Canis lupus familiaris: one gene and its partners. The protein of the gene in region 3 purifies or fractionates together with the protein of the main gene of each other region. This does not show direct contact. Links are inferred from orthologs where the notes say so. Each region holds a gene or a part of one and is shown on either strand. Other genes may lie near its edges. The genes, in order: AXIN2, NBR1, GSK3A, GSKIP, FRAT1, PRUNE1 and CTNNB1.

Region 1 (4,197 bases), on a different chromosome or scaffold from region 3:
TGCCATGTTTTGGCAACGCCCCCTGTCCGTGTGATGGTAGGGTCATTTTTTTTCTCTTCTCTTTGAAGGCAGGATAGAGAAGTTTCTACTGAGGTCACATTTTCCAGTTTTTCTAACCCAGTTTCTTTCCTTCTGCTTTCTCTCTTGCTCCATGTTCAGTGCCCAAAGCACAAAGAAGGCTTACCCCTTGGAGTCGGCCCGTGCGTCCCCAGCCGAGCGAGCTGGCCGGCACCACCTGCTGGGGGGTAGCAACGGGCACCCCCGTGCCGCCCCCCGAGCCCACCCGTTCACCCAGGACCCCGCCATGCCTCCCCTGACCCCGCCCAACACGCTGGCACAGCTGGAGGAGGCCTGCCGCCGGCTGGCCGAGGTGTCCAAGCCCCCAAAGCAGCGGTGAGTAGCAGCAGCACAGCACAGACGGGAAGGCAGAGGTTGGGTCTGGAGGGGGAGCCCTGGCCTGTAGCACAAGGGAAGGGGCCCTCTTGGCCTGCATCTCAGTTGCTCCTCAGGGAGGAGGGATGGCTTCTGGCCACATACCGGTCTCCTTCCCACCTGCTAGAAATTGTTCCTTTAACTTCTGTTTGCTCTGAAGAGCTGTCCAGGATCTGTCCGTTAGGCAGGTCAGGCCCAGAAAGAGGATGAATTGTGGTAGTTCCTTACAAATCCCATCCCTGACAAATGCCCCCATCACCATCACGCAGGGCTGGCACATAAGAAGCCACGGCTGATGGAGAATCTAGAGCCTCAGCCCTTTGTCTGGGCTGGTGTCATCCTGCCCCATTCTGGGCTCCCCGGGGGCTCAGGATGGCGTTCCCCGGGGATGGAAGTCGGGCCTACAGCTCGGGCCTGCAGAGGACAGCTTTCCCGTCTGCTCCCCGCTTGCCCGGGGACAGCAGGCTCATTCTCGGTCCTCTGCTCCGACTCTGTCCTCAGGTGCTGTGCAGCCAGTCAGCAGAGGGACAGGAACCACTCGGCCACTGGTCAGACAGGAGCCACGCCCTTCTCCAACCCAGGCCTGGCTTCAGAAGAGTGAGTGTCTTCACCTGACGTGGCTGAGGGCCCCCGAGGGGGCGTGTGTTTCAGGGTCTTGACTCCCTGGCATTGAGATTTTGGAGAACTTTTTCTAGCATATAAAATCACCTTGGTTTTAACAGTAGCAACACGGGCTGGTGAATGCAGATGTGGCCATAAATTAGGACCTTGAAAACCCTGCCTGTACGGGGCAACGTGTTGTGACTCGTACACAGGCGTTGTTCCCTGAAGTGACGGGTGGCTCGGGGTGCCTGGGCACACACTGAGCAGAAGCGGAGACGTGAAGCCATTAGCACATGGATTAGAGGGGTCCCCAGGCCCGGATGCAAAAGTTGCCCTCACTCAGCTTGCACGCTACTGGGTCGGAAATGTCTCGTCGCAGGGAGCCAGAAGATGATTCTCCACCATCGCAGACATAGAGAACAGTTATTGTTTTGCTTGGGGGTAATGGAGTGTCTTCACCAGTTGTGCCATGATTCTTCCCATAAGTTTACATTCCTGCCGACCAAGTAGCCTGGCTTCGTTTAATTATGGGAGGGTGCGTTCAGAAAGAAATGGGCCATGGGAGTCTAACATGGTCTAAATAATTGAAGTTTTCTTCCTTAGCTTGTTCATCTTGGGCAATGAGCCATGTTTGCAGCCCGTGAATGAGCCACCACCCTTTTCGTTGGTTGACCTTAGGTGTACCAGCTGTCCAGGCCTGCAGCTTTTTTTTTTTTTTTTGTAAAGCCACTCTGCAAACTTGAAGAATAAACGAGGGAGGTCAGAATGATAGGGCCGACCCTCCCAGTGGGCTCTGGCATCCATGCCGTCTCGGGAGCCGGTCTGGGTTTGCCTCTGCAGCATTCCCCAGTTGGGCTGAGTGAACCCACGTTCTCTGTGACAGCTTCCCTCCTCGTCTTCACTGGCAGGCACCCTGGTTGTGCTATCCTGAAAGAGACTATTCCGCACCCATCTTCCGGCCCCCCATTTGGTGGTCGTGAGGGGGACAGTAGCAGCCGTGTACAGCCCAAAGGACATTGTCCCTTCCTGGGTGCCCGGGGCTGTGTGCCACCGAGGCGGTGGCCCCTGTGATGGGGGGCCCTGCACCCAGGCCCCTTTGAGCATCTAGCTGCAGCCCTTTCCCTGCGGAGAACGTGTTCGAGAGCCCGTGCTTGTGCGTGTGTGCGTCGTGTGTGCACTTGCTGCCTGCAAATGCTAAAACTTGTTGCATTCCATCTTATTTCTCAGTCACAAAGAGCCAAAGAAGCTGGCGGGGGTCCACGCGCTCCAGGCCAGCGAGTTGGTCGTCACATACTTTTTCTGTGGAGAAGAAATTCCATACAGGAGGATGCTGAAGGCTCAGAGCTTGACCCTGGGCCACTTTAAAGAGCAGCTCAGCAAAAAGGGAAATTATAGGTAAGAGCCCTGCGGCTTCTCGCTGCTCCAGAGTTTGTTTGCTCAGAAGCAAGAGCCAGAGTCGCGTCGCTGGCCTGGCGGACCCGGGAGGGGCTCAGGAGGCGCTCGGGGCAGCCGTGGGGCTGCCTGGCGCTTGTGCTCCTTCTCATTTCCTCTCTCCCCTCACCACTGACAGAAATAACACAGCAGCAGCAGCAGGGAGGCCCTGGGAGGGCTCTGTGGGGACCTGGATGGGCTTTTTCTACCAGGTGAATGAGACTCTGAGGGCACAGAGCTCGGCCAGGAGAGCTGGGCTGGGGCCATCTTGCAGAGGCCCTTCCCAAAAGGGAGAGGGCCGTATGTGTGTCGGGGAGGGACAGACAGACGATGAGGAAGCTCGGGTGTAGGAGAGATCGTCCACACAGCCAGCGTGGGGAAGGGCAGAGGCCACTGCCTGGAAGCAGAGACCGCCTCTCCTCCCTCGCCCGCAGCCCTCCTGCCCACAGAACTGCCTCGCCGTGGTGAACGGCTCACGTGAAGCCGGAGAGCTCTTCTATCCGTAGCAGAGGAGGATGGGCACTCACCTCCCTCCAGCCCCCCTTCCCCTTCTGGGGGCCTTCGAGGGCCCCAGAGAGGACTCAAGAGCAGGGCCCATTCCTGGGTTCCCTTCTCCTTAATGGGGGGTGGGTGATGACCCCACCTCCGTTCATCTAGAGTCGTCACTGCCCCTTCTCCGTGGCCATCGTCCCAAGGGAATACGTGGGCAGGCCAGGGGCATCAAGGTGCTGGGCACACACTTCAGGGAGGGGTCCAGTATGTGCTCAGAAGGTGCCAGCCCATCCCACCGGGAGCCGGAGGTGGGCGTGGAGAAGCTGCTTGGCACTCAGCCCCCGGCCAGGAGGGCACCAGCTTCCGGAGCCCCTGGTCCTGGCAGCTGCTTGGGGGCAGGGGCCCAGAGGGATTCCTTTTGCTGGGAAACGATGGGGTTCGGGGCTGAGGATCCTGTAAGGGACTGAGGAGAGCTGGGTGTGGAGCTGGGCTCTAGATCTTTCCATCTGACACCAGGGCAGAGACAATTCAGGAAAATGTATCCAAGGGATTGGGGAGCAGGCCTGGCTGCTGCTTCTTCCTCTTCTTCCTCTTTTTCTTTTTTTTTTTATCTTGAACAGACACAAGGTGAAACTAATTACACAAGTGTGCCCCTCCAGGGATTCATTTTGATCTCAGCTCTGACTCGGCTGGACTTTGAGTGGAACTGCAGGTGACCTTCAGGGGAGCAGGGCCATGGAGCGCCGAGCAGAGGCTACCGGGGAGGCTTCGCGCTCAGCCACTCCGGCCACATCTGGCTCTGATTTTTTTTTTTTTTTTCCTAAGGCGCACTTAATAAGCCTGGCTTTGAAGCCCCGGCCTCCCTTTTAACGCACAAAGACTTGCACAAATGGTTGACTCTCAAATTCTTTACTGATTGGATCAGGCTGTGGCCAGACCCTTCCCGGCCGCCTTATCTCCCTGGCCTGGCTCTCCGGCCGGAGCTGGACCCCTTGCCCTCCTGGCTCGTGGAGGCACCGGGTGCCCTGCCTGGCCCTCCCAGCAGGGGTGGTGCTCCCGTCCTGCAGCGCCCCCCCCCCACCCTCCCAATAAAAAGCCCGGCGAGGATGGGGCCGCCGAGTGGGGGGACCTGGGCTGCACTGAGTAATCTCAACATGGCAGAGGTTCAAAAGGAGAACAGTCTCTCCAGACGTGCCAGACGCTATTGGTGCCAGATGTCAGAAGAAAGCAAAGTTTGCC
Region 2 (4,197 bases), on a different chromosome or scaffold from region 3:
AAAACATACACTGACCTGGGCAGTGACTGGTGGCCCAGCAAACAAGGCCTTATACGCAGAAGCAGCAACAGATAAAGCCCCCTTCACCAGTCCTCCAGCAATGCTGCTCCCATGGTGGTGGTGCCTGGGGAGGAAAACCACATTATTTCCCTAAAAACCACAAACCATTATCTTCCTACAAGATAATCTGGGCTCTAATCCTTGAAAGAAAATGGATTTCCCTGGGGTGTGACCCCGGGAGAATGTGACCGTTTTTCTAGTAGTTTTACAGCTACGAACCTTGGTTAGATGTGGAGCTCAGCTCTACTGCTGCAAAATAAGGGCATACAGAAAACACACCCCCTCTGGTGAGTATACCAGCTTTCTGTCCCAGCTGAAAACTATGTGGTCAAGGGCACAGAGGGGGTATTTAGCAGTCTGCTCAGTTAACCATCTTAGAGGATATACCCCCAAAGGAAATGTGATTTTCTGGGCACTGTAGTGAGGGAGGAGTCCATCTTACCAGTGATCTGAGATGACTGGGAGCAGTGAGGCAGGTGTGTCTAAGAAACTGTTACTAAGATGCACAGTGGGCTTGACCTTCCTGCCTTCTCTTTTGGTACTAAGGTGAGCTGAATTTGAGAACACTGGTCTGGAATATGGAAACTTTTTCTTTCCCCAAAGATTTTATTTTTTTAAGTAATCTCTACACCCAATGTGGGGCTCAAACTCATAACCCAAGATCAAGAGTTACATGCTCTACAGACTGAGTCAGCCAGGTATCCTGGAATGTGAACACTCTTAAATGTAACTGTAGCCCTCTGTTCAGTGTTGCTCACAAGCATCAGAAGAAATAAGAACAAGAAGGAATGATGGCTCTCCTTTGCCCTCTGGAGGTGGCACATGCTTTGAGAAGCTTATTTAAGCAGAAGCAGTATTAGGATATCCACCTGCTTCTGAAGAGGCTGCACAAGGTCCAGTTACCTTGAGTGGTCATAGCTCTTCTGTCTGCTGTTTACAAGTCCTGATGAGCCTCTGGGCTCTAAAAGCAAAAGAGCTATTGGTTAGAAGCAGCATCCACAAGTGCCTACTGTTTCTAACTCAGAGTGAAGCTAGTTTTGAGAGGCAAGCAGCAATCTGATCACAGCACTTAGTCTTTTTTTGGGGGTCGGATTTTGCAAGTGGCTTTAAGTGATAAGAAAGAACTCTCCAGAATGCGATGCAAGGTGACTATTTATTGAGCCAGAAAAACTTGGTCTAAAATCTTATCAACCCATTTATTAGTTTCAAAATACTTTTGGGGTTTTGTTTTTGTGATTAAGAGTGGGAAGTGACTTTGAAGGTTTACTAACAACTTCAAGGTGCTATTCTCCTTAATTTGGAGATAAGAAAACACCCCTGTAGGTTTTATGACTGTGCTGAACTGCTTCAAGGTCACACAGTGTGGAAAGGTGGAGCTGGGCCTGAAACCTAGACTAGTCTAGCACCACAGTCTGTGTTCTTTCCACTGTAGCACAATGCCCACCTCTGTGAGGTCTCATTTAATAAATATTAAGCTGGAGAACAGAAAAGGAGGGAGGGCCACAGAAAAAAGCAAGGGCAGGTTTCTGAATAATGCCAAGAATCACAAAGACACAATGCCTATTTATGCCTGGTGTCATCAGACAGGAGCACAGAAAAAGACATCAAGTGCAGGCTGGTCATTACCTCCTCTGATCTGATCAGGGACTGAAGAAACTTCTGGTATGATAACAGGTAAATCCACTCCCGGGGAACCATCAGGCTGTGCACAAGGAGAGCTCCTTTCAGAAAGACACAATATTGAAAGTCAGTTGAAAAGGCACCTATGGGAACACTGGAGAAACAGTGCACGTGGCACAGCAGTACCAGATTCTCTATAAAGGCTTCACTTTTCTGATCCAGATCTCATGTCTGAGGTAGGGATCAGGTAGAAAGGGCTCACTCTACTGGTTTTCCTTTTCAGTCATAGTCAACCTGGAGAGAGACCAGCTTCAGTTGGGTGGCTCCACGCCTACATCAAGTGGTACTAATAAAGGGAAATGTTTAGCTCCCCGAGAGTGGTTTAAATCCTAGTTAAGGCTCCACCATCTGCCATGCCACAACAGAGCAATGACACACACAAATTGATAATGAAAAATAATTGTACTCTCATTTTAGAATATATGTATTTTTTATAATAGATTAAACATCCTATTATACTTTGGGTTAACAAGAAAATATATTTTTGCTGTCTTTATCCATGCGTCAATAGAGTGGGGAAGGAAGGTCCAGGGATGTATTTCAAAACTGGCTCTCTTAGATCCAGGGTTTCAACAGCAAAAGAAAAAAAAAAACAAAAAAAACAAAAACCCTAAAACAAACCAAACCAAACACTGGCTCTCAACAATCAAAACAGAAGTAGACAGACTATACAAAGATAATTAAGAATAAGCACAGCTTTAAATTCAGGATCCACAAATTCTGGGAAATACAACTTTTATTCATCTAAATTCAGACTTTCCTATGGGAAATAATCCCTTCCCATTCTGACAAACAAAACAGGTTCTGACATCAAGTTGTTTCCTCTCTATTCCACCTGTAAAGAAGAGCCCAGCTGAGTGGGGTGTGGATGGTACCTGGACAGTTGTGGTGGAGGCCCCACCACCTCTGGGGTCAGAGGTACTGTGTCCAGAGTCTGTGAGGTCATGAGGATGTCATTGATGCTCTGCCCCTGCAACTGGTTCTCCCCTTCAGCAAGCCTCTCCCCAGCCTCAATCCCAGGTTCACCTTCAGCCCCTCGCTCTAGGCCTGGCTGTGAGAGTGCAGAGCTGTACATGGAGTCGCCCAGGGGACGACTAGTGTCAAAGCACTCGGGCAGGATGATGATGTAATCCTCTGAAGAAGTAGAGGACTGACTCTGAACTTCATCTTTGAGCTCATCCTCCTCTTCCTCCTCCTCCTCCACGACAACTTCTTTGGTGTAATGGACAACATCCTCCTGTTCATCTCCAAGTGGTCCCTCTTCAGGGGAAGCAGATTTCACTAGAGGATGAGAGCAATCAATTTTCAGCTATAAGCTACAATCATGAAAGCCAGAGTAGAGGGATGGCCAGAGGGAAGGGCTGCTGCTAGAACCACTTGTGGCCACATTAAAAGTCTGAAGCCTAAGCAAAGCCAGAAAGAACCAAGCTCACAAGGTACAGAGAAACACCAAGGCCTCTGAGAAGCACCATGAATCTTAAAAACAAATCAAAACTGATACATTAGCTAATAGAGCTATAACAAGAGAAAACATTAAGTGGTTAGTACCACAGGGCTATACGCTTACTTTCCTCCTTTTCTTTGCAAAGTAACGGATAGTCATGGCAGAAAATTGGCAAAGTGAGGATGAGGGAATAAAGAGATATCTATAATCCTTTCAGAGATAACTACCGTGAACATTTTTTGTTATGCATATGTACATAAGCGTGTGTGTGTGTATGAGAAATGAATGTATGTGTGGGGGAAAGGAGTGTGTGTATTTTCAACAAAAGTGAGACAAATATAGTATTTAAAGGTATAGATAAAATTTCATTATAATAAACATAAACTTTCCCACATTATTTTGATGAACTAGAATTTGAATTTTCAGATAGTTCTTGAAATACACAGTATGGGCTCTACCTATCTTATATCTAGATATTTCTGTTATAGGGCAGCCCAGGTGGCTCAGCGGTTTAGCGCTGCCTTTGGCCTGGGGCACGATCCTGGAGACCTGGGATCAAGTCCCACGTTGGACTCCCTGCATGGAGCCTGCTTCTCCCTCTGCCTGTGTCTCTGCCTCTCTCTCTCTCATCTTTGTGTATTCTCATGAATAAATAAATAAAATCTTAAAAAAAAAAATTCTGTTGTAAAGGAAATTGACTACAGCAGAATTAATTAATTAAAGATTTTACTTATTTATTCGTAAGTCAGAGAGACAGAGACAGGCAATACATAGGCAGAGGGAGAAGCAGGCTCCCTATGGGGAGCTCAATACAGGACACAATCCCAGGATCCCAGGATCATGCCCTGAGCTGAAGGCAGATGTGCAACTACTGAGTCACCCAGCCGCCCTGACTTTGGCAGAATTTAACCTTGGGAAACTTAGTTTATTTTTTTATTTTTAAAATTTTTTTATTTATTCATTGAGACACACACACACACACACACACACACACAGAGGCAGAGACACAAGCA
Region 3 (4,858 bases):
GAGACTGCCGGGGCCCTAAGGCTTTGTGGGTCCGCTGCGAATTGCAGTCAGACCTAGTGAACGAGACTTCAGGCTTCAGAAAGGGCAAGACAGTATGAACATAGACTCAGATTAAAGTGAACGTCTAGAGACTCCATTTCCCATTATTCTAGGGGATAGGAGGGGCCGAGGATGATTTCATTCTAGTTCCAAATATTTCCGGCGCGCGCACACACACACACACACACACACACACGCTCCCTCGCACGAACTTCATTTCCCAGGGTCCTTTGAAATTAGTCTTTCCGGTTATTAATCGATAAATAGGGCGACCTAGTCCGTGCACAAAACCCGAGGCTACTCTTAGCCGGCTTCCTTGTTTTGGGCCCTCCTGGATCCTGTAAACTTAGAAGGCGGGAGTACGCAAAAGGCTGAAAGGAGATGCAAAACGGAAATTTTTTCACCTGCTTTAATGCTCGTCTCAGCCTCTTGGTGAACCCGCGTCGGTAGAAAAAGCTAGAAGACTATTGTTCTGAGAGACCACCGGGAACTTTGTTCCCCAAATTGTTTGAGGGAGGGTTTTTCCTTCCTGATTTGTGGAAACTTGGAATTTGGAATGTTTGGGCTCCATTTTACCGCAGCCCCTGACCAACTTCAGCTTTTTCTTGGGGTCTGAGGAGGGTAAGGAGGCGTTGAACACTGCAATCTTCCCAGGGGATTGACGTCTTCCACATTTGGCTCACGCTTTCCCAAATGTACCGATTGGACTACACTTCCCAGCGAGCCTCTGCAGTCTCGTCTCAAAGGGTTAGGATCCGGTCTGGACTATTACCCAGCATTCTTCGGGCTCCTGGTAGATCCCTCCCCCTCAGTCAAATGAGTCTGCCTTGAACTCCATTTCCCAGAAGACACAAAGGCTCACTGTGGCAACTACTCCGAAGCGTTGGTGTCGACTACATTTCCCGGCAGGAACTGCGACCCACCATAAGAGGGCAGAGGAACGCCGTACCTACCTATTCTATTTCCTAGCCTATCTCCGTAATAGCAGTGTCCACTTGGGGCTTGGGGAGCACATGGGACTCCATTTCCCGGCGTACTTTGGCAGTCGCGGTACACCTGCAATGCGGTGAGGGCGTGGCGACGACTCCATTTCCCGGCTTGCTTCACGGCCTGATATCTGCGGATGCACCGGCGCCGACTCAATTTCCCACAGTGCACCTGGCGCTGACCGGCATACACAACCAATAGACTAAATGAGCGTCTGGACTCCGTTTCCCGGCGTGCATCAGGACTACAAAGCTCTCCGAAAAGAGTGGCTTCAACTGCATTTCTGAAGCACATCTAGCGCTCGCAGTTGCTGCAGTGGAGCGAGTGTGTGACTCTGACTCCACTTCTCAAAGTACTTGAGGGTCCGCCGTCTACACAGTCGGCCGACTTATTGCCTAGGACTCTATTTCCTGACGAGCAGCGCGACCCGTCATCCCCCGCGGTCAGCTCTGAAGCCTTTGCAGACTCCATTTCCCGGCGTGCCCCGCGGTTCTCTGTGCCGACCGAGGGCGGCGACGGCGGCGCGTAGGGCAGGCGGACTGCATCTCCCGGCGTGCCCCGCGGCGGGCGCTGGGCCGGAGCCGGAGCCCGAGCGGCGCGGCCTGGAAGAGGCCAGAGCCCGGGGGAGGCGGCGGCAGCGGCGGCGGCGGGGGCAGCCCGGGCAGCCCGAGCCCCGCGGCCTGGGCCTGCGCTCGGCGCCATGAGCGGCGGCGCGCCTTCAGGGGGCGGCCCTGGGGGCTCGGGCCGGGCGCGGACCAGCTCGTTCGCGGAGCCAGGCGGCGGAGGCGGCGGCGGCGGCGGCGGCCCCGGGGGCTCGGCCTCCGGCCCGGGCGGCAGCGGCGGTGGGAAGGCGTCAGTCGGAGCCATGGGTGGGGGCGTGGGGGCCTCGAGCTCCGGGGGCGGCCCCACCGGCAGCGGCGGAGGAGGCAGCGGCGGCCCGGGTGCGGGCACTAGCTTCCCGCCGCCGGGAGTGAAGCTGGGCCGTGAGTATTAGCAGCGTCCGTGGGGGGTGGAGATCTGGGTTCCTGAAGCCCTTCAGACGTCGATCAGGTTCTTCAGTATGCCCAGATAGGAGCTCCAGCTCAGTGTGCTTCCCAAAGATGGGATCTGAGGTCTCCCCCTCCCAGAGAAAGGGATTTGAGGGGTCACCATCAATTGGAGTTTAGGATTAGATTTAGTAATTCTCCACAAAACAGGGGTCACAGGTTCCTGTTCTTCCGATGCCTAGGGCTTGGATCCTTAAGCCTCAAAAACAGGAATCTGATGTTGCCATCCATTAGACAACAGGATCAGGAGTCATCACTTGCAAATGGGGCTAGAGAGTTATTGTTCCCAAAAAGAATGAGATTACCATCACCTCAGAAGAGGGGGGTCTGAATTTGCTCCCCTCTAGAGGATGGGGATTTGGAGTGAATATCACATGGAAATGGTTTAGGGGTCACTCTGGCCGGGAAGGATTGGGCCAGGGCTTCCCAAACCTGGTACCCAGGCAGTCTTTCCTTTTAAAACGCAAGATCAGTTACCATCACCCCATCTGTAACAGGTAAAACTGTATCCCCGGTGGTAGAAATTAATGATTGTTGCTTCTTAGAAATAAGGACAAACTAGGAATCATTGTATTCTGCAGACCAAGTCTGTAGTCAGTGTTCTTTTGAAAGCTTGGCTTGGGGCGCCTGGCTGGTTCAGTCGGTAGAGCATGCAACTCTGGATCTCAGGGTTGTGAGTTCGAGCTCTACATTGAGGGTAGAATTTGCTTAATAAAAAAAAAATAAAAAAAAACAACAAACCCAAAACACCAAGGAAAATGAAAAACTTATAGTGGTGGGTCTTCTTCCACAAAAATGAAACAGGGTCAGGGGAGGGTCATAGTTCCCCATAGGATATGGATCTGAGGTTAAACCCATGTTCTGAGGTGTGGTGTCACTGGCTGTGGAAGAACAGCTGTGTAGGATCATCTCTTTCCAAAAGGTGTCACTGCCCCCTCAAAATGGGTTTGATTCATCAGTGACTCCTTTTCTTTGGGGTCTGATGGTTCCCCAAAGTAAAGGGGCCACTTTTCTCTAAGAACGCCACAAAAGTTTGCTGCTGTTTGGAGAATGGAGCTAGGGGTTACAGCTTTCCTTTGGAGGACCGAGGCTTGGCTAGCCCCTGGTTAACGGAGGTCAGATTCGCCATTCTCAGAACTTAGTACTTGCCCACTGGGGACCCCTCCAAATACATGAAAGGGTCTAGGGCTCTGGGTCACACAGATGAGGAGGTCATGTCAGCACTTTTTCTAACCCCAAAGTATTTGGGACGGGCTAGCTCTCCCCAAAAAGTGAGAGTCCTGGCACTGGCACTTAAGTCTGAAGGAGTCCTTTCTGCCACCGAAAACCAGTGGCAGTTACCAGCTCTACCAATGAGGACTTAGAGGTCACTGTTCCCCAAGCTGTGACAAAAACTAGTGCTTGCTGAAAGTCAAAGTACCTTAGGGTTGCTGCTGTATTAAATGGAAGAGATTGGGTCAGGCTTTCCCCAGGCAGGAGGGGGCCCCAGCAGGCAGTAAGCTCTGAGTCGATGGAGTCAACATCTGCAAGTGTGAGGCTGCCCTCGAACCAAGAGGGACCAGTGATTTGCTGCTTATCAGGCATAGAAATTACAGCTTATCAACGCTTGAACAGCAAGAGGTTTAGATGTCAGTGTCCTCCCACAGAAGAAGAGGCAGGATTTAGCATTCCCTGGAGGGAAAAGGAGAAAGTACACCTGGAGGCATCTGACACCCATCTTTGCTCCAAGATGAGGGGATGAGGAGGCCCCTAGTAAGCACCTTGTAGTGATTCCCCTCCTTCCCACAGCCCTATGATTGGGTGGTGGCAAGGGGGATGGTCAGTGGATTGTGTGTCCCCTTTGTTCCCCAGGTGACAGCGGGAAGGTGACCACAGTGGTAGCCACTCTAGGCCAAGGCCCGGAGCGCTCCCAGGAGGTGGCTTACACAGACATCAAAGTGATTGGCAATGGCTCATTTGGGGTCGTGTACCAGGCACGGCTGGCTGAGACCAGGGAACTGGTGGCCATCAAGAAGGTTCTCCAGGACAAAAGGTTCAAGGTAGCAAGTGGGGACAAGGAGGTGTAACCAGGTGTGATAGGCGAGAGGGCTGGAATTGGCTTTCCACAGGGGACCTGAACATGGGCCAGAGTAGGGAAAGAGAAGGGAGTGAATTGTGTGGAAGATAGGCATGCGGGTTCCCAGAGAGCCCAGGATGGTGTTTACTGGCTTTTGGATTGGCGTGAAGTGCTTTGTAACAAGGGCAAGTTCTTATCTAACTCCCGTAAAGATCGTTTGAGGGTAGGTATCGGTGTCTTAAGACTGAGACTCGTAGAAGAGAGTTGACTTGAGGGCAAGACTAGACTCTGGCTTGCCTGATTCCGAAGCCTTCCACTTCACGCACAAAGCTACCCTTCTGCACAGAGCGGGCAGGAAGCTGGTGGAGGTGATGAGCGTGTTTGTGAAGGTCATGCCCTGACCCAGGTGCTTGGCCAAGTGCAGGGTGAAATGCAGCCTGCCCCACACTCACCAAACCACATGCCGTGGTGGGGAGATCTGTCCCCCATTCCTCCTTCACACAGCTGTGCCCTGTAACCTAGTGGAGGCCCAGGGAACAAGGAGGACATGGGGGAGGTGGAAGTTGAGGGCTGATCGGTGTTGCGAGGACTGGCATTTTAGAGCTTAGGCTAGTCTGGATATGAATGAACTGACCCTAGGCTGGGAGGGAACCAGGTCTCGGCCTGGACCTTGGCAGGGAGAACCCCTCCTTGCCCTCGCAGGAGGAGCTCCAGGGTGTGGGTCAGAATT
Region 4 (3,265 bases), on a different chromosome or scaffold from region 3:
GTATTTCTATCCTGCTCCCCTCGACAGCCAAACAGTACATTCTGTTTCTGAACCCTGTACAGAACTGCAGTGAGCGAGGGGAGGAAGCCAACCATCAGGACACCATTGGTGGCTGATTTGCTGTTGGTGACCTGGAGTAAAGGTGGGGAGGGTGTCGTCGTGGGAAAGGAGGTGGGCATTCTTTGTCTCTTCAAGGATCCTGGGAGTGAACACTCAACCCAGCTTGGTGCTTTTGCTAGAGAAACGTTCTTTAGCTGGTTGAAACCCTGGATCTGTTGTATTTCCCCTTCCAATTAGTGCATACAGGCTAACGCAGAAATTGAGAGTATGAAGGGGATGAAAATGACCTATCTCATCACCTAGTGAGAGCTACTACTAACATTGTAGATTTTCCAGGAATAGATCATAGTTTTATATCCTTTTCTAAATCATGCAGTGTATTTTCCTATTGCCATTTTTTCATGATTTTTTAATGGCTGCATATTTTTCCATCAAGAGCACATGATGTGCTTTTTAGAGCCTTTCCAACTCTCCATTAAAGAAAATGAATATTCTTGTAGTGTATCTTCTGCTGAATCTTTTCTCCATGCTAGATTGCTAGGATATTACCAGTACAGAAGTTACAAGCTTTGTAAAGGCTCTATTACCCAATATTTTCTGGAAAGGTTTCATTGAATGCCCCTCACTAAATCCTTATTGATATCATTATATTTAAATAACGAAGATTATTAAGTTGTTAGGTTAAATACAGAGCTAAACTCTTTTCCTTTCTTGAATTACTGGTCAGGTTGAATATCTTTCAAGTGGTTACTGGACATCCATACATTTTTTTTCAAGTTGTTTGATTATATTACATGCCCACTGTTCTTGTTTTCTTATTGACTTGTAAGAGTTACTTATTTAGAGGCTTTTTCTTTTTTTCCCCTTTTGGAAGTGACATCAATGATTAATTTATCTGATTAAATTCTTTAAACAAGCTAGATGAAATGGAAGTTTCAGTATCTGTATAGTTTTATTAATGTCTTTTCACTCTGTTCCTCTTTCATAATGATAAAAAGAGCAAATCACTTCACAGCAAAATGTAACCATACAGAATTCAAAAATGGACATGGAAGCTCCTGGAACCAGTCATTTATCACAAAATGAACAAAGTCAATTTTTGAATGTACAATCACTTTTCTTCATACTTAACTCGAAATGAGTAAACAGAATTTTATTCGAACTTTACAAATATCCTTTACATTTATTTAGCCTGAGATTAAGCGTGAGAAAATCTGACCTGCAGTTAGATATCACTGCCCAAACAGTTAGCATCTGAAAATAAAGCTGCAAATGGACATGCATTTACCAAACACAAATAAATCATCCTGATGGACTCTGACAATGAATACTGACCCAAACCGAACTTCAATGTGGTTCTACATGATCTTCGGAGCCCAAAAGTGTCTATTACTAAATAATGATTAAAAAAAAAAAAGTCTGCAAATGACAAATTATGAAGGTGTGTCCCAATGCAGAATTTTACTTCAACATTTCTACAGCTGCTGCTTTAGTAGTACTACTAAAAAATCGACTCCCCAATCCTTAGTATTCAATATGTACTTGAAAACATGTAGCAGCATGGTACGATTCATTTTTATAAATATTAGTACCTGTAATAAAATATAAAAAGAGAGTCTCCCTTTTTCAAATATCAAGTCTCTGAATGCTTCATTCATCCTTTGGTTTCAAACCCATACAATGCAGGCATATTACATTGTAGATTTAGCTTTGAGAAAGAATACTGTGCATCTGTTGGGGAGGGAGGGGTGCTAGGGAATACCAAAGCACTACAGTATAGAAAGGAAACATTGAAGCAAAAATACTTTCTGAATATATACTGTACATCATGTAAACAAACATTCATAATAAGAATCAACACAGGCCAAAATATTGTTTTCTGGGAATTCAGAATCTTCTTCCTTTTGAATCACACACACACTGAAGATGATTTTTGTTAAGAAAAATGGTGCCTGTTCCTATATTTGCTTATGTGCTTAAATATCTTGGAAACAATTATTACATTCATTTGCTAACGGTTTGTCCTCTTAGTTGGCTGGCTGTTGCAAACAAGGAATACAGAACTATTATTTCAGTACCTGTTTTCCATTTAATACTAGCTAAGTAATATATATAATTAATTCATCTTTATCAGTCCCTATTAGTAATATAAATAGATTAAGTGAAGCAGTGAATTTCAAAATTTGTGCAGGGGAAACTAGTTGATAATTTGTTTCCAATAAGGCTAGTAGCAAAATAATTACTACAAAGTCAGTCCAAGCTAGTAGTAAACCCCTGATTTAGCAAGCTGAATCCATGTAGGTCATTTTAATTCCTGTTATATTACTGTGCAAATCTAGAATTTCCTATGTAAAAGAGAGTGCTGGTAGCATCAAAATCCTGTAATAACAGAATGAAATACTGATTAGGTTTTGAAATGCAGAGCTACTATATGAAGAAATCTGAATGTCTTAACGACAGTATCACAGCAATGGCCTCAGGATTCCCTTAAGGAATCCGAAACTAAGAAAGACAATTCATTAGTCAGTAATGTTCTGAGGCAGAAGCCTAAATTTGAAGCAAGGAATGGACATAAAACCAAAAATGCGTTTTCTACTATGACCATATGCAAGTATTTCAAGCTTTATGTCAACATTTTGTACCAGCAGCAGCCCCCTCTAGAAGGAAACAGCTTGGTCACGACTATCCATCCCTCTTCAAAGCTTCCAGTCTTTGAAGGAGTGCGTTTCCAAATGCTTCCCGGTAGGCAGGGCTGAGTGTATCCAGCAACGAGTAGACAGTTTCATGATAGGGAGTGTGTAAGTGATCATCCACTTGGTCAAAAGCATAACCTACCACCTACAAGAGAAATGCAACAGTGGATCAAATAACTAGATTTAACTTGGTACAGAAAACAAAAATGTGTTTACTGGGGCCATTCTTCAATGACTCAATTTCTCAATCAATAGAATATGCATATTTCTTTTTTTTTAAGATTTATTTATTTATTTGATAGAGAGAAAGAGAGAGATATCACAAGCAGAGGGAGTGGCAGAGGGAGAGGCATGCCCCTATCTGAGCAGGAAGCCTGATGTGGGGCTTATGACCTGAGCCAAAGGCAGATGCTCAACCCACTGAGCCATCCAGGCACCCTGACTAAGTGTATTTCTAAGCAGTCTGAAACTTAAAGGAACATCATAAACAAAATGCCCTCTTTATCATCTTT
Region 5 (4,058 bases), on a different chromosome or scaffold from region 3:
ACTATTGCCTCCATCCCATCTCTCCCTAAAGGTTTGCTCCTGTAATTACCCATCTTGAAACTGCCCACCAAGACCCCTGTTTCTCTTTATCTGGACCCCAGGCTCCAGTCTCTTCCTCTGCACTCCCTTTATCAATTTGACTCCTCTCTTGCTGGGTGTTCTAAAGTAGCTCAGAGGCGGCTACTCAGAGGTTTAGTGCCGCCTTCGGCCCAAGGTGTGATCCTGGAGACCCTGAATCGAGTCCCACGTCAGGCTCCCTGCATGGAAGCCTGCCTCTCCCTCTGCCTGGGTCTCTGCCTCTCTCTCCATGTGTCTCTCATGAATAAATAAATAAAATCTTAAAAAAATATATTCAAAAATAAATAAATAAATAAATAAATAAATAAATAAATAAATAAATAAATAAAGTAGCTCCCTACAGCCTGGTTTCTGTATTTGTGTGTATACGCATCCCATCATGGCTAGTTTTAAAAACAGCTTTATGGACATATAATTTTATATATGAAATTCATTCATTTTAAGAGAACATTCAATAATTTTCAGTAAATTTACTAAGTTATTCAATCATCACCATAATCCGGTTTTGAATATTTTTCTTAGCCTGCTAATATATCTCCCCTGGTTGGCTCTTAAAGACTGGGCCACCAAAAGTCCATCTACAAGTGTAGAGTTTGAAAGTGAGGTCTGATTGGAGATTTTTAAAGAAGGTTTTATTTATTCATTCATGAGACACACAGAGACATAGGCAGAGGGAGAAGCAAGCAGGCTCCCTGAAGGGAGCAAGATGTGGGACTCCATCTGGGAACTCCGGGATCACACCCTGAGCTGAAGGGAGACGCTCAACCACCGAGCCACTCAGGCGTCACTGATTTGGGATTTCTGAATAAGTCTAATACCTCCAGGCAACAAGACAGTAAGGGATCATTTTTCCATCCCTCTTCCTTTAAAAAAAAAAAAAAAAAAAGTCTTGGTTAATCATTAAGCCAACCATGATATCTTGAAGAGTTAAACGGATCCATATCTCCATTACCATCCAAACAACTCGTTTTCCTCTCCTGCTTCCCCTTCAGAGAAGACACTCCCCAGCTGCTGAGGCATTCTTAAAAGAACTTTCTAGCTCAGCTCACACCCCGCCCAAGACCAACGACCTCCTCCTCTCCAGGAAGGCCAGCCCTAGTCCAGGCCCGCATATACCCATGCTCCGGGTCAAGAAGCATTCATCGGGCCTTTCCCTGCCAATTCTAACGCTGCCACCGCTTCCCCACGCCCCGACCCCATCCAACTACGAGGTCCCGGTCTTCCTTTCCGTCCCTGTCAGCCTTGTTTCCCTAATCTCCGGACCGATCCCTAGCCTCAGATCTCCGCCCGCGCCTCGCTCGCCGGGGCAGCCCTTCCCAGACGCTGGCACCCGGACCTCCAAAGTGCAAATGCCAAAACCAGACGAGTTGACGCGCCTAGAGGAGGAGAGTGTGTGGGTGTAAGTGTCTGTGCTGGTGTGTGGAAGAAACCAACCGCGTCCACGCGGGTGTTCATTTTCGGGAAATGCCAACCACGCCCGGCTGACAGAGCGACGATCCGCACCCCCGCGCCCCCCTGCACGCAGCACTCGGGGTGGGGCAGCTCGGAAGCTGCTGGGCTTCACCCTGCGCCCCGGCCGGGAGGGCGCCCCGCCCCCAGCCGTACCCCGCCCCCCCGGCCCGGCGCGGTGGTAGGGCCCGGCCGCGACGTCACCCATTGTTTACAAATCAACCCGAGCCGGTAGGATTCCGGCTCCCGCTGCTGCAGGCGCGCGGCGCGAGTGCCTGGCGGGCTCCGGCTTCCGCGTCCGCCCCGGCCCGGCCCGGCCCGGCCCCGGCCCCGGCCTCGCCCCCGCGTCGGCCCCCGCCCCGCGCCCCGCGCCCCGCGCCCCGCGGCCCTCCGAGCCCCGCCGGCCGCCGAGCCGCCAGCGCCGGCCGCACAGCGCCGGGTGCCCGGGCGGGGGGCCATGCCGTGCCGGAGGGAGGAGGAAGAGGAAGCCGGCGAGGAAGCGGAGGGGGAGGCGGAGGAGGAGGAGGAGGACAGCTTCCTCCTGCTGGAGCAGTCGGTGACGCTGGGCGGCTCGGGCGAGGTGGACCTGCTGGTGGCCCAGATCGGCGAGACGCTGCAGCTGGACGCGGCGCAGGACAGCCCGGCCTCCCCGTGCGCGCCCCCGGGGCCGCCGCCGCAGCCCCCGCGGCCCCCGGCGGCCGTGCGGGCGGACAAGGCCCGGCCCCCCGCGCTGCCGCTGCTTCTGCCGCCCGCGCCGGCCGAGGCGGTGGGCCCGGCGCCCCCGGGGGCCCTGCGCTGCGCCCTCGGGGACCGCGGCCGCGTGCGGGGTCGGGCTGCGCCCTACTTCGTGGCCGAGCTCGCCGCGGGCCCCAGCGCGTTGTCGCCGCTGGCCCCTCAGCCCGGCCTTGACGGGCCCTCGGGAGCGGACAAGCGGGCCGCCCCGCAGCCGCTGTCGGGCCCGTGCCGGCGGGGGTGGCTGCGGGGCGCCGCCGCCTCCCGCCGCCTCCAGCAGCGACGCGGGCCCCAGCCCGAATCCCGCACCGGCGACGACGACCCGCACCGGCTCCTGCAGCAGCTGGTGCTCTCGGGGAACCTCATCAAGGAGGCGGTGCGGAGGCTTCATTCGCGACGGCTGCAGATACACGCAAAGCTTCCCCAGCGCCCGCTCTCCGGGCCGCTGTCGGCCCCGGTGCATGAGCCCCCGTCTCCCCGCAGCCCTCGGGCGGCCTGCAGCTTCTCCGGCGCGTCCGGGAGGAGGGCGCAGCCCCGAACTGGCGACGGCGTTCCTGTCCCTGGCAGCTAACGCCCCGGGAGTGGCCACAGCGCCAGCCTCTGCCTGGAGGGCAGGGGAGCCCCCAGAGGGCTACATCCCTACTCGGACGGACTGGTGAACTCGCGTTTTGGAAGCGGGAAAATAAGCTAATGCAGACGAGGAATGGAAAAACCGCGAATGTTTTCGCGGGGAACTAATGGAGGGCCCCCGATGCGTTTGAGAAACAGAAGAACTTGGGTGCCCTGTTTGAGGCAGATTACCGAGCGCACCCCAAGCTCACATCCAGTGGTACTCCCCGTTCGGCGTGGCCAGCCCCCGCGGTGCAGCGAGCAGATCCACGCAGCCGAGCCAGTGGGACCCTCCAGCCCAGCGGCCATGTGGCCACGTTCCACGCGTCTCTGGATCGCGCGCGCCCAAAGGACGAGGGTGACCCCAGTTACTGGCTTTACCTTTTCAGGGCTGGTTCCTGATCCACTTTGGGGGAGGGGAACATGAGTCAGACCATCATTTCAGGGAGAACCTCAAACTGCCAGACTTGAAAAATTTACGACTCTTTAAAAAACCCATCTTGTGTCTTGTGGGTGCTGGTTCTTAACGCAAAACACGCGGTGCCATCAAAGGACCTTTTTTGGGAGTTGAATGGGAGTAAGGTTCGCGCTGCCCCCGCTGTGCGACGGGGGGCGGGGGCGGCTGCGCGCCGGCGAGGGGAGGCGGGGGCGGCGGTGCCGCGGCGCGGGGAGGTGGGAGTCGGCGAAGTCTTCCTCTCTGGGAGATTTTCCCTGCGTCCCCCTCCTCGGGTTCAAGGTCAGGGTTCCCCCAGCGCCCGCGGGGGTGCGGGGCTCCCGTAGAGCGGAAGAGTTGCCGGGTTCCGCCTGTGCCCGGGAGAAGCGCCCGGTGCTGTGCAAGTGCTGGAGTCTCCTAAGGACGCGCGCCCCGCGGCCGCCGCCGCTGCGGGCCGAGGGGGACGTGCCGGGCCGGTGCCCACCGCGGCCCGCCGCGCCCCGGGCTTTCAGAAAGTGCCCCGAGCCTCAGCCTGGGTCGGGCCGCCCCCGCCCCCGCCCCCACCTCCCCGCCTCGGCTCGGCTCGGCTCGGCGGTCCCACTCCAAGCGGGTGGCGCTGGCGCTCCTTGGGGCCCGGGCTGGGGGCTGGGGAGACGCCACGTGACGGGCCCTCCGGGGACACAGCCTCGCACAGCAGCTTATAATGGACTCTCCGGGGCCATTTGCAATAACAGCTGCAATTCCCTGGATACACGGA
Region 6 (4,632 bases), on a different chromosome or scaffold from region 3:
CATATGTAACTCTTAACACCCCATCTCTACCCTATCCTCTACCAGCTGACAGCACAAGCCAAACAGCCTCACTTTTCTGACCATGAGAGGAAGAGCTGAGGGCAGATATAGCTATACTTAGAACATGAGGAAACCTGAGCTGCCAATCCAAGAAATACAATCTGAAAGCCCCATGTAAATACAAACTTTTCTTCCTAACAAATAAAACACCCAAACCCACAAGTCACAATGACTGTATTCTGATGTTCTTTCTGGCCTCAATGCGGGGAGTGAGGATGGGCTCTAAGGCTGGAAAAGGCACCCACTTTCCTTCTGAAGCTGAATACAGTCTAGTGGCCTACTCTACAAAATAGTTAATAAGGGAGGGAAAAAAAAAAGAGAGGGGGCAGCCCGGGTGGCTCAGCAGTTTGGTGCCTCCTTCGGCCCGGGGCCCTATCCTGGAGACCTGGGATCGAGTCCCACGCTGGGCTCCCTGAGCAGAGCCTGCTTCTCCCTCTGCCTGTGTGTGTGTGTGTCTCTGTGTCTCTCATGAATGGATGGATAAAATCTTAAGAAAAAAAAAAAAAAAAAAGAGAGAGAGAGAGAAATAGACAGGGAGCCAGAGACAGAGTTCTCCCAGCACAATGGTACAGATACTGACGAAAGGACTGTAATGTCTGAAGGACAGCAGCCACTCCTGATTCCTGCCTTCCGATTCCTGCCTTATGTGTTGAGCAGTGCAGACAACAGATTATCCGAAGGCCGCTGGATGAATACTACACTAGATTGCAGCTCCACCCTGAAGCAAAGGTTTTTCCCTACTAGAATTAAAAGATGAGTTACCATGAATAGGACATTTAGTTAAACAGGATTTCTTTTAAATGGAACATCCTACTATCGTTATGGCAGAGGCTGTAAAAAATTTCTCTGGTATCAGATGCCAGAGAAAAAATATGCTATCAACAGGACAGTTGGTGGGTTATAAGCTGTCTTTCTCCCATGTAAAAGTCAAGCATTCACATTTCCCAAAGAGTTAACCTAACGGAAACACCCAAACTTTAAATAGAATCTCTGGCTAAATCATGTCTTTCTTTACCAAAAAACAACAGTGAGGCCTCTGGGGAACTGGATGGGGAGTAGAAAAAAAGATCTTGTTCTTTTTCATTTCACATCTCTCTTGTATTTAAATTTTTTCACTGTATGCATTTACTATTCTATAATTAAAAGCTATCTAGGGACACCTGGGTGGCTCAGCGGTAAAGCGTCTGTCTGCCTTTGGCTCGAGGCGTGATCCTGGGATCCCGGATGAGTCCCACATCGGGCTCCTTGCATGGAGCCTGCTTCTCTCTCTGCCTATGTCTCTGTCTCTCTCTGTCTCTGAAATACATCTTTAAAATAATAATAATAATAATAAAACCTATTTAAATTATTGGCGACCACCTGTGTGTCCTGCCACCAGTTCCTCCACTAACATTCTGTGAGTCCGATTTTTTCATTTCTTCCAGCCCTGGCCAAGTTGTGTAATAATAACTCTAAGATACAACCTCACCTTCACAAGTTCGGAAAAACAAAGACCTAGATCTTGCTCCTTGGGGATGAAGCAGGCAAAAAAAGGTCAGGATTCCAGCAATACTGGAAAAACCCAGTATTCTTCAGCTCCATATTGCTGTAGAAGATAGTTAACCCGGGGGAACTCTAAAGCATAGATGTTGAAGGATAGATGCATGCAATAAAAGGCTATTTGGTGAGGTTTCCATCCAAATGGTGGAAAGGAGGCCTGTAGTTTGCGTTACTGTGGAGGCAAACATTTCACCTGCTTAGCACTTGGAGTGCCATAAAGATTCTACCTTAGTCCTCCAATGAGCTCCATGTGGTGGAAATCAGATGTAACCAAATGAATTGCTTCCAAATCGCCCTATGCATTAAATCAACTTTCCCAAAAGGAAAAATCTAGTGCAATTAGTATTAAACTTGTCTTTTGTCCCTATACTTCAGGTGAGGACAGTCATTTACGCCAGCAGCGGAGTGGGCAGTAGGAAACAGGTAATTTCTAGGATTTTGTCAAAGACCAGAATCTATCCGCCAGGGGAATGTGCAGAGTTTAAGACACTTCAAAGAAAGCACCTGTCAGCCATCTGTCTAGGTCTCCATATGGGCAGTGTAACTTGAAGTAGGGGAGCCAGGTGACCTCCTGGAGCCTCTCTCTGGTCAGCTCTTAGCTGCTAACTGGGAACAGCAGCCTGATGCGGCCTGACGGGTGGTCAACTCAGCTGGGAGATTCCAACCAGCTCAGAGTACCAAAAATAAGCCACAAAGCATTCAGGAGTCAAGCTTATAGCTTTGATTCCAAACACACTTTGTTTAGCCCTCCCAGGCGGGGGGGTTTCTTATGTAATTTATGTGAGTTAAGGCCACAGAAGAAAACTGGAGGCAAAGGAATGCAAGTTTTTGGTCAACAACAGATCTGCCTGAGGCACTGAGCACGTTTAGCTTAAAAACAGATTTAAAGTCAAACCACGATTCTCTCATCTAGAATGAGCTCGGCCCGCCAGACAGAAACAGCTCTTCTGAGGCTTAATCCGTGGGCACAGGCTCCCTAGTACCCCGGGACTCACCTGGAGGCCTGCCGGCCGCGGAGGCCCCCGCGAGTGGGCGGAAAGAGGAAGGGGGGCACGACTGGCGACGGCACAGCCCTTCACCGCTCCACGGAACGGAGCCGGGCAACAGCGAGCAGAGGCTGGGATGCAGGTCCTCCTCCCAGCCCTTGGGGAGACCCCAAAGACGGGGGCCAAAAGCCGGGAGACTGAGCAGCACTCCCCAAGGCTAGGTTCTCCTTCCTCGGTCCTCTGGCCCCAACCCGATGTGGTCCCAAGCCCGCTCCCCACACACCATCCGGGCTCCCCGGATCCCACATCTTCGCTCCTCCTGGACCTCATGCTCCATTCCTTACAGCCACAGCCCGGGATTCGTTACCTGCAGAGCGGCTCGACAACCCTGCAGGTAGTCCTCCATGGTGAAGTCCCAGGTGTGCCACCGCCCCTGGCCGTGGAGAGGTTACCCGGCGGACGCGCCCCGCTCGGGACTCAGGGGCTCGGGGCGAAAGTCAGGAGGCGGGACTCGAACCCGCCACACCGCGACTCATTTCCCCAGCCCCCGGAGGAAGTGCGTAATCCGGGGCTCCTGGAATCGGACGTCGCCCCGCCCCCGACGGCGGGGGCGGAGCTCTGCGCCCGGAGACTCACGGGACCCGGGAGGCGCGCAGTGGGGCGTGGCGGAGGGCGTCCTGGGAAACGTAGTCCGGCAGCTCCGAAATGGCTGTAAGAATCGAGGAGAGAATAATTTTCCGAGATTACTCATTTGACAGAGAAATGTATATGTGTCACAGTAACCTGCGTTGGTGGCATCTCTCGAGTCGGGCTAAGTATAGCATCTTTCCATAGATTACATCGAGCATCTGGCTGGCATCTTAAATTACACAAGGCAAAAACAGCTTAGCCTGCCTTTCTCGAATTCTCCCCTTTACCAAACGGACCCACTGCCGCCAATTTTCTGCTGTCCGTGTTATAAAAACATTAGAATCACCTTCGACCCCTCTTCTTCACCTAATACCTACGGCCTCTTGCCGACTCCTGCTGCTACTTTACCGCCCAGTAGCCCGTCTGTCTACAGCCTTGGCAAATGCCTCCTCATGGACGGTTGTAACCTGGGGTTTTTGCTCCCTGCCTCCCTAATTGCTCAAACTGCCCTTTCAGCCTTCAGAGCTGCTTGAAGTTTCATCCTGCAGTAGCCTTGTAAGTCAAGGGAGGAGGGCCCTTCAGAATGTGGAGCTGGGTTCCAGCCTCCCCTAACTGCCACCTTCCAGCCCCATGGTGGTGTAGGGTGCTGCCAATACGTGAACTGATCATCAAATGCCCCTCCCTTACCGACCCTCCCTGGATTTCTTACTGCCAGCTTTTCCTGCTCTCCCCTCCCCACGCCCACCCCAGAAGTTGAAAGGAGGTGAGGCCTGTGTTGGGACAGAGGACCAGAGCCCAGGGGTATTAGATCTCCTGCTTGCTCGGCTAGTTCTCTCCTTGTCTTCCCAGAGTCTGGGGAGTCGTGTAGAGGACCTCCAGGGGCACAGCCCAACCAGGTCCATTTCTAAGGGGAAAAAAAAAAAAAAAAAAAGATACATAAAGGCTTAGAAAATAGCAGAATTTCTTTTTACTTTAAATGAATAAATATGCAAATATCGTGCTCTTTGGCACTGCTTCTGTGGGTCCAGACCAAAGGCCTGCCATATCCACGGAGAAAGCTCAAATCCAACCAGCTGCTGCTGTCCAGCCCTGCTCCTCCCCACGCTCCGCAAGGGCACTTGCTCTTCCCTCTTCTCACCAGAGAGGCACAAGCGCTCCGTCCCTTTCAGAGGCAGGCGGAGGGAAGAGAAAGGGTCTGTTGTTTTTCTCTCCTTGTTTCTCTCTCCCTCACTGCTAATCACCAAGCTGCTGACCAGGTCAGAAAGCCCTGATAGAAAATCTCCAGTGCTGGGCAAGTCCCTCCTTCTCCAGGGAGCTTGTCCTTGACTAATTTTTCTTTGTCCCATGGGAAAAAAAAGAGAGAGAGAGAAAGAGAGAGAGAGAGAAAGAAAGAAAAAAGAAAAACCACAAACTTCCT
Region 7 (4,639 bases), on a different chromosome or scaffold from region 3:
AAATCTTCATTAAAAATTTAGGTTTCTATGCCCCACTCTAGTCCTGTTGAATCAAAACGTTAAACACGTAATCCCACTTGGTATCTTAAAAGATTCTTATTGACAGGAATCACCTTTATTATTTTCTGACCTTCATTTTGTCATGTAAAAAAAGATCATCAGTTGTGTTTCTACTGTGGACACTAAACAATTGTATCCATAACTCTTGTTATCTTTACATATCAAGTGACCTTTGTGGCTATAAAAATCTAGTACTGCAAGAGCAATTTTAGGAATAATTAACACATGCTTCCTTTACATAGAGCACATAGGACTTCAGAGTGTAGTTTCCAACTTCTTTAAACATTTAAACTCCTTTTTACATGGATAGAGTACTCACTTCATGCTTAAATATTTTAGTCCATATCTTTACATATTGGTAAACCAATATGTTAAGTTGTAGTGTAAGATGAACTTGTTTACGGGAATACTTTGTGATAAAGGAAATGTTATTATTAGGAATATCTGGTGGTTGTGAGCCTTTACAAGACCCACAGTTCTAATTTGCAAGTAGTTTCCCATGTGATTCAGTGTTTTCCTATTACACAGTGAGGCCAAAATGTAAACATAGATGCTAGGATTTACATATATATAAATTATGTATTTATATATATAGTACTTTTGTAATATATATATATTTTTTGTAATGATCAAAACAGCATTCTGGTCGGTAATAGTTGTATTTATAATACATCCATACTATAAATTTGAACTAGACAGATTTTACTAAAAGGGTGATTATTGTGTTGCAGATTTACATTTGAAAAGTAATTTTAGTTAGTAACAGATCTCAAACCCAGTGTTCTGATCCAGTCAGCAAAACCTACTTTGTATTTTAGATGTCTTTGTATTCTATCAGGAAAGAAAAACCATTAGTGAAAATCTAGTTTTTTTTTAAAGTCCATGTCCAGTCTCACCAGAAAGATCTCTGAATTTTTCAGTGAAAGAAGTTAAAAAGAGAGGGGAGAGGTATTTTGGGAATTCGAGGAGTTATTTCCTACCTTGGCTTTCACTATAAATTTTCTTCCTCCTCAACAATAATTAAGCTTTCTGACATCCTGAATAACTGTAATTTGTATTTCTACCTAAAAAGAGGTGTTTACTAAAAGAGGTTCAGCAGTGGTGGAGCTGTGGGGAGTGTATTAAGGAGACCATGGAGTCTGGCTTTCACTCTCACATGGTAAAGGGGGATTTGGGGGCTTTTTGTGGATATAATCCATGATGTTTAGCAGGTCATCCTAGTGACTTAAAAGTACTAAAAACTAATTTTAAATCCTAATGACTTGATTAACTCTTTTAGGGTACCTGAAGCACACCATACAACGGTTTTGAAAATCCTGTGTGGGGAATGGCTACCCAAGGTTTGTATCAAAAGTCTTTAGTTACTGAATCGGGGCTCTGCTTCATTGCCATTAACCCAGTCTGGCTCAGATCCCCCTGCTTTACTCTCTCCCTGCTTACTTGTCAGGCTACCTTTTGCTCCATTTTCTGCTCACTCCTCCTAATGGCTTGGTGAAATAGCAAACAAGCCACCAGCAGGAATCTAGTCTGGATGACTGCTTCTGGAGCCTGGATGCAGTACCATTCTTCCACTAATTCAGTGAGTAACTGTTAGGTGGTCCCTTAAGAGTATAGATATTTCATCACTGAGCTAATCCTGGCTATCGTTGTTTATTCTTGGCTGACTTTCAGATTTGACTATTTCTAACAATATTTCAATGGGTCATCACAGATATTTTAATGAATATAACATCTCCATGGTGGTAATGCTAATATTGTTTGATTTTTATAGCTGATTTGATGGAGCTGGACATGGCCATGGAGCCAGACAGAAAAGCAGCTGTTAGTCACTGGCAGCAACAGTCTTACCTGGATTCTGGAATCCATTCTGGTGCCACTACCACAGCTCCTTCTCTCAGTGGTAAAGGCAATCCCGAGGAAGAAGATGTGGATACCACCCAAGTCCTGTATGAGTGGGAACAGGGCTTTTCTCAATCCTTCACTCAAGAACAAGTAGCTGGTAAGTATTTTATTGCCTTAATAAAAGTTAGAAGGCAATTTTAAGAATGATTCTTTAAAAAGTTAGTATGTAATAGCTTAAATAAAATGGTGTGGTAAAGAAAACATGGAGTGATTGTAATGTTACCTTTACCACTTAGGGTAGCACAAATTCAGGTGAATGCTGAATTATGGACAGTGAGTGTTGAATTTATTTTTTCCAGATATTGATGGTCAGTATGCAATGACTCGAGCTCAGAGGGTGCGGGCTGCTATGTTCCCTGAGACATTAGATGAAGGCATGCAGATCCCATCTACACAGTTCGATGCTGCTCATCCTACTAATGTCCAGCGTTTGGCTGAACCATCACAGATGCTGAAACATGCAGTTGTAAATTTGATTAACTATCAAGATGATGCAGAACTTGCCACACGTGCAATCCCTGAACTGACAAAACTGCTAAATGATGAGGACCAGGTAAGTAAGGACATGGCTAGCTTTTAATCTGCTTTAAAGGAAACTCTCAAGGAGCCTCAGAATGTTTATCCGGTATCAGTATTTGAAAATCATAATTCTGTCTCTTAATTCCTATACATTATAGGTGGTGGTTAATAAGGCTGCAGTTATGGTCCATCAGCTTTCTAAAAAGGAAGCTTCCAGACACGCCATCATGCGTTCTCCTCAGATGGTGTCTGCTATTGTACGCACCATGCAGAATACAAATGATGTGGAAACAGCTCGCTGTACTGCTGGGACCTTGCACAATCTTTCTCATCATCGTGAGGGCTTGCTGGCCATCTTTAAGTCTGGGGGCATTCCTGCCCTGGTGAAGATGCTTGGGTAAGAAAACATGGTTAGGATGCTTGAAGCTAAGGAGGAGAAGGGTGCCATCACAGCCTTTCTGATGAGGCTTTTTTTTTCTTCCCAGTTCACCAGTGGATTCTGTATTATTTTATGCCATTACAACTCTCCACAACCTTTTATTACATCAAGAAGGAGCTAAAATGGCAGTGCGTTTAGCTGGTGGACTGCAGAAAATGGTTGCCTTGCTCAACAAAACAAATGTTAAATTCTTGGCTATTACAACAGACTGCCTTCAGATTTTAGCTTACGGGAATCAAGAAAGCAAGGTAAAAGAATTTTTCTGAGTATGGCTCATGGAGCATTGGGGAATCCAGTGTCATGTCCTTCTGTGGACTCTTGCACATTCTTTGTATGCCTCACCCTTTGTGTGTATCCTAGAAAAAAAGCTGGACATCTCTTTTTCTTTAAATATTTGTTTATATAAGGCTAGGTGATAAGGATATAGTGGGCATACTTAGAGCTTTCATACTTAGGTGGAAGATAGGCACTAATTAGAGATAATAACCTAATTACTATTTAATTCATGTATCTGGAAGAAGTAGAGGGGCTGTGATAGCATATACGTGAACCACACCCTGCTTGGAAGGTTTAGAGAGACCAGTGGAAGGAAGTGATAGTGGAGTTCAGTTCACAAGGATGAGGAAAGACTGACTAGGTGAAGGTGAGAGAGAGGAATTGACACCTTTGAAAGTCCTACTGAGAGAGGAGAGGGATGAATTTACAGAGTAAAGAAGAGGAAAGGTTTGAGATGAGAGTATTGAGATTAGCAGGGAAGGTCCTTCAGGGCCTTGTAGAATATGTTTTTAAAAAGTAATGGAAAGCAGTTCAGTATCAGCAGAGGCATGAAGTGAGGAGATTTGTTTTTAGAAAATCAGGATAGTTTGGAAGTAGGGGTCTGCAGGAAAGTAAAGGGCAAGAATGAGTAATTATTTTATGATACTTCATTTTAAGTAGGTGAATAATGATTAGGAAAAGCCAAGAGCCAAATCATTAGGAGTTCTAAGCACCTGTTCTGGCTCAAATTTTCAAGAAATCTGCTTTGATATACCATTGATATATGGACAGTACTGTTGCATACCAACATGGTTTCTGTTTCTTTTGTTCTGATCAGTGTGAGAGGAAGAATATTGGGGAAAAGTTGAGATATTCTTGGGAGTACTGGGATGCCTGAATTTGAGTGGAATGGTGTAAGAGGGGCTAAACGTGGTCCCAGTATGGGAATCTGGGGTAATGGGGTTCAGGGATATATTTAGGTCAATGGCAAGCTGGCTGAAATTCTTGTATGATAAAAATGGGTTGGTAATGTGGCTTTTCTTGGGCATATGGTGAATGTTCCAAGTAGTGTGGCTTTTCTTGGGCATATGGTGAATATTCCAAGACTAACAATATTATATACACATCTTTTTAGCTGATCATTCTGGCTAGTGGTGGACCTCAAGCTTTAGTAAATATAATGAGGACCTACACTTACGAGAAACTCCTGTGGACCACAAGCAGAGTATTGAAGGTGCTGTCTGTCTGCTCTAGTAATAAACCAGCTATTGTAGAAGCAGGTAAGTATTCTGAGTGTCATGTGTATAGCATATTATAGTTCTAATTAGATTACTTGTCTTAGGAAAAGGGTAATACAACTTGACCTTAATGGGCTGAAACTGAATAGAACCAGTTTGCAGCCAAGATCACATTCAAAATATATGTGCTACTTGACACCTTGCATTGGTGCTGTTTAAGCCTCAT

What was found.
Region 1: the proteins of GSK3A (region 3) and AXIN2 purify together in Homo sapiens (affinity purification with mass spectrometry; 3 studies listed by BioGRID and IntAct, with this or other methods). This does not show direct contact. The link is inferred for Canis lupus familiaris from reciprocal best matches to the Homo sapiens genes GSK3A and AXIN2.
Region 2: the proteins of GSK3A (region 3) and NBR1 purify together in Homo sapiens (affinity purification with western blotting; 3 studies listed by BioGRID and IntAct, with this or other methods). This does not show direct contact. The link is inferred for Canis lupus familiaris from reciprocal best matches to the Homo sapiens genes GSK3A and NBR1.
Region 4: the proteins of GSK3A (region 3) and GSKIP purify together in Homo sapiens (affinity purification with mass spectrometry; 7 studies listed by BioGRID and IntAct, with this or other methods). This does not show direct contact. The link is inferred for Canis lupus familiaris from reciprocal best matches to the Homo sapiens genes GSK3A and GSKIP.
Region 5: the proteins of GSK3A (region 3) and FRAT1 purify together in Homo sapiens (affinity purification with mass spectrometry; 4 studies listed by BioGRID and IntAct, with this or other methods). This does not show direct contact. The link is inferred for Canis lupus familiaris from reciprocal best matches to the Homo sapiens genes GSK3A and FRAT1.
Region 6: the proteins of GSK3A (region 3) and PRUNE1 purify together in Homo sapiens (affinity purification with mass spectrometry; 3 studies listed by BioGRID and IntAct, with this or other methods). This does not show direct contact. The link is inferred for Canis lupus familiaris from reciprocal best matches to the Homo sapiens genes GSK3A and PRUNE1.
Region 7: the proteins of GSK3A (region 3) and CTNNB1 purify together in Homo sapiens (affinity purification with mass spectrometry; 3 studies listed by BioGRID and IntAct, with this or other methods). This does not show direct contact. The link is inferred for Canis lupus familiaris from reciprocal best matches to the Homo sapiens genes GSK3A and CTNNB1.

Annotation. Positions count from the first base shown.
Region 1 is NC_049230.1:12,339,442-12,343,638, reverse strand, and holds part of AXIN2 (axin-2), read left to right. Parts: intron 1-159; coding exon 160-393; intron 394-933; coding exon 934-1,029; intron 1,030-2,262; coding exon 2,263-2,430; intron 2,431-3,578; exon of another isoform or gene 3,579-4,197. UniProt on the Homo sapiens protein: Inhibitor of the Wnt signaling pathway. Down-regulates beta-catenin. Probably facilitate the phosphorylation of beta-catenin and APC by GSK3B.
Region 2 is NC_049230.1:19,803,931-19,808,127, forward strand, and holds part of NBR1 (next to BRCA1 gene 1 protein), read right to left. Parts: intron 3,022-4,197; coding exon 2,616-3,021; intron 1,782-2,615; coding exon 1,687-1,781; intron 1,022-1,686; coding exon 964-1,021; intron 125-963; coding exon 16-124; intron 1-15. UniProt on the Homo sapiens protein: Ubiquitin-binding autophagy adapter that participates in different processes including host defense or intracellular homeostasis.
Region 3 is NC_049222.1:112,856,728-112,861,585, forward strand, and holds the start of GSK3A (glycogen synthase kinase-3 alpha), read left to right. Parts: upstream 1-1,726; coding exon 1,727-2,009; intron 2,010-3,923; coding exon 3,924-4,111; intron 4,112-4,858. UniProt on the Homo sapiens protein: Constitutively active protein kinase that acts as a negative regulator in the hormonal control of glucose homeostasis, Wnt signaling and regulation of transcription factors and microtubules, by phosphorylating and inactivating glycogen synthase (GYS1 or GYS2), CTNNB1/beta-catenin, APC and AXIN1.
Region 4 is NC_049229.1:65,459,256-65,462,520, reverse strand, and holds the end of GSKIP (GSK3B-interacting protein), read right to left. Parts: intron 2,899-3,265; coding exon 2,743-2,898; 3' UTR 988-2,742; downstream 1-987. UniProt on the Homo sapiens protein: A-kinase anchoring protein for GSK3B and PKA that regulates or facilitates their kinase activity towards their targets.
Region 5 is NC_049249.1:10,817,974-10,822,031, forward strand, and holds FRAT1 (proto-oncogene FRAT1), read left to right. Parts: upstream 1-1,941; 5' UTR 1,942-1,984; coding exon 1,985-2,830; 3' UTR 2,831-3,366; downstream 3,367-4,058. UniProt on the Homo sapiens protein: Positively regulates the Wnt signaling pathway by stabilizing beta-catenin through the association with GSK-3. May play a role in tumor progression and collaborate with PIM1 and MYC in lymphomagenesis.
Region 6 is NC_049238.1:60,760,864-60,765,495, reverse strand, and holds the start of PRUNE1 (exopolyphosphatase PRUNE1), read right to left. Parts: upstream 2,922-4,632; 5' UTR 2,916-2,921; coding exon 2,595-2,915; intron 1-2,594. UniProt on the Homo sapiens protein: Phosphodiesterase (PDE) that has higher activity toward cAMP than cGMP, as substrate. Plays a role in cell proliferation, migration and differentiation, and acts as a negative regulator of NME1. Plays a role in the regulation of neurogenesis.
Region 7 is NC_049244.1:10,789,028-10,793,666, forward strand, and holds the start of CTNNB1 (catenin beta-1), read left to right. Parts: upstream 1-1,345; 5' UTR 1,346-1,387; coding exon 1,388-1,400; intron 1,401-1,831; coding exon 1,832-2,059; intron 2,060-2,261; coding exon 2,262-2,515; intron 2,516-2,639; coding exon 2,640-2,878; intron 2,879-2,966; coding exon 2,967-3,168; intron 3,169-4,310; coding exon 4,311-4,455; intron 4,456-4,639. UniProt on the Homo sapiens protein: Key downstream component of the canonical Wnt signaling pathway.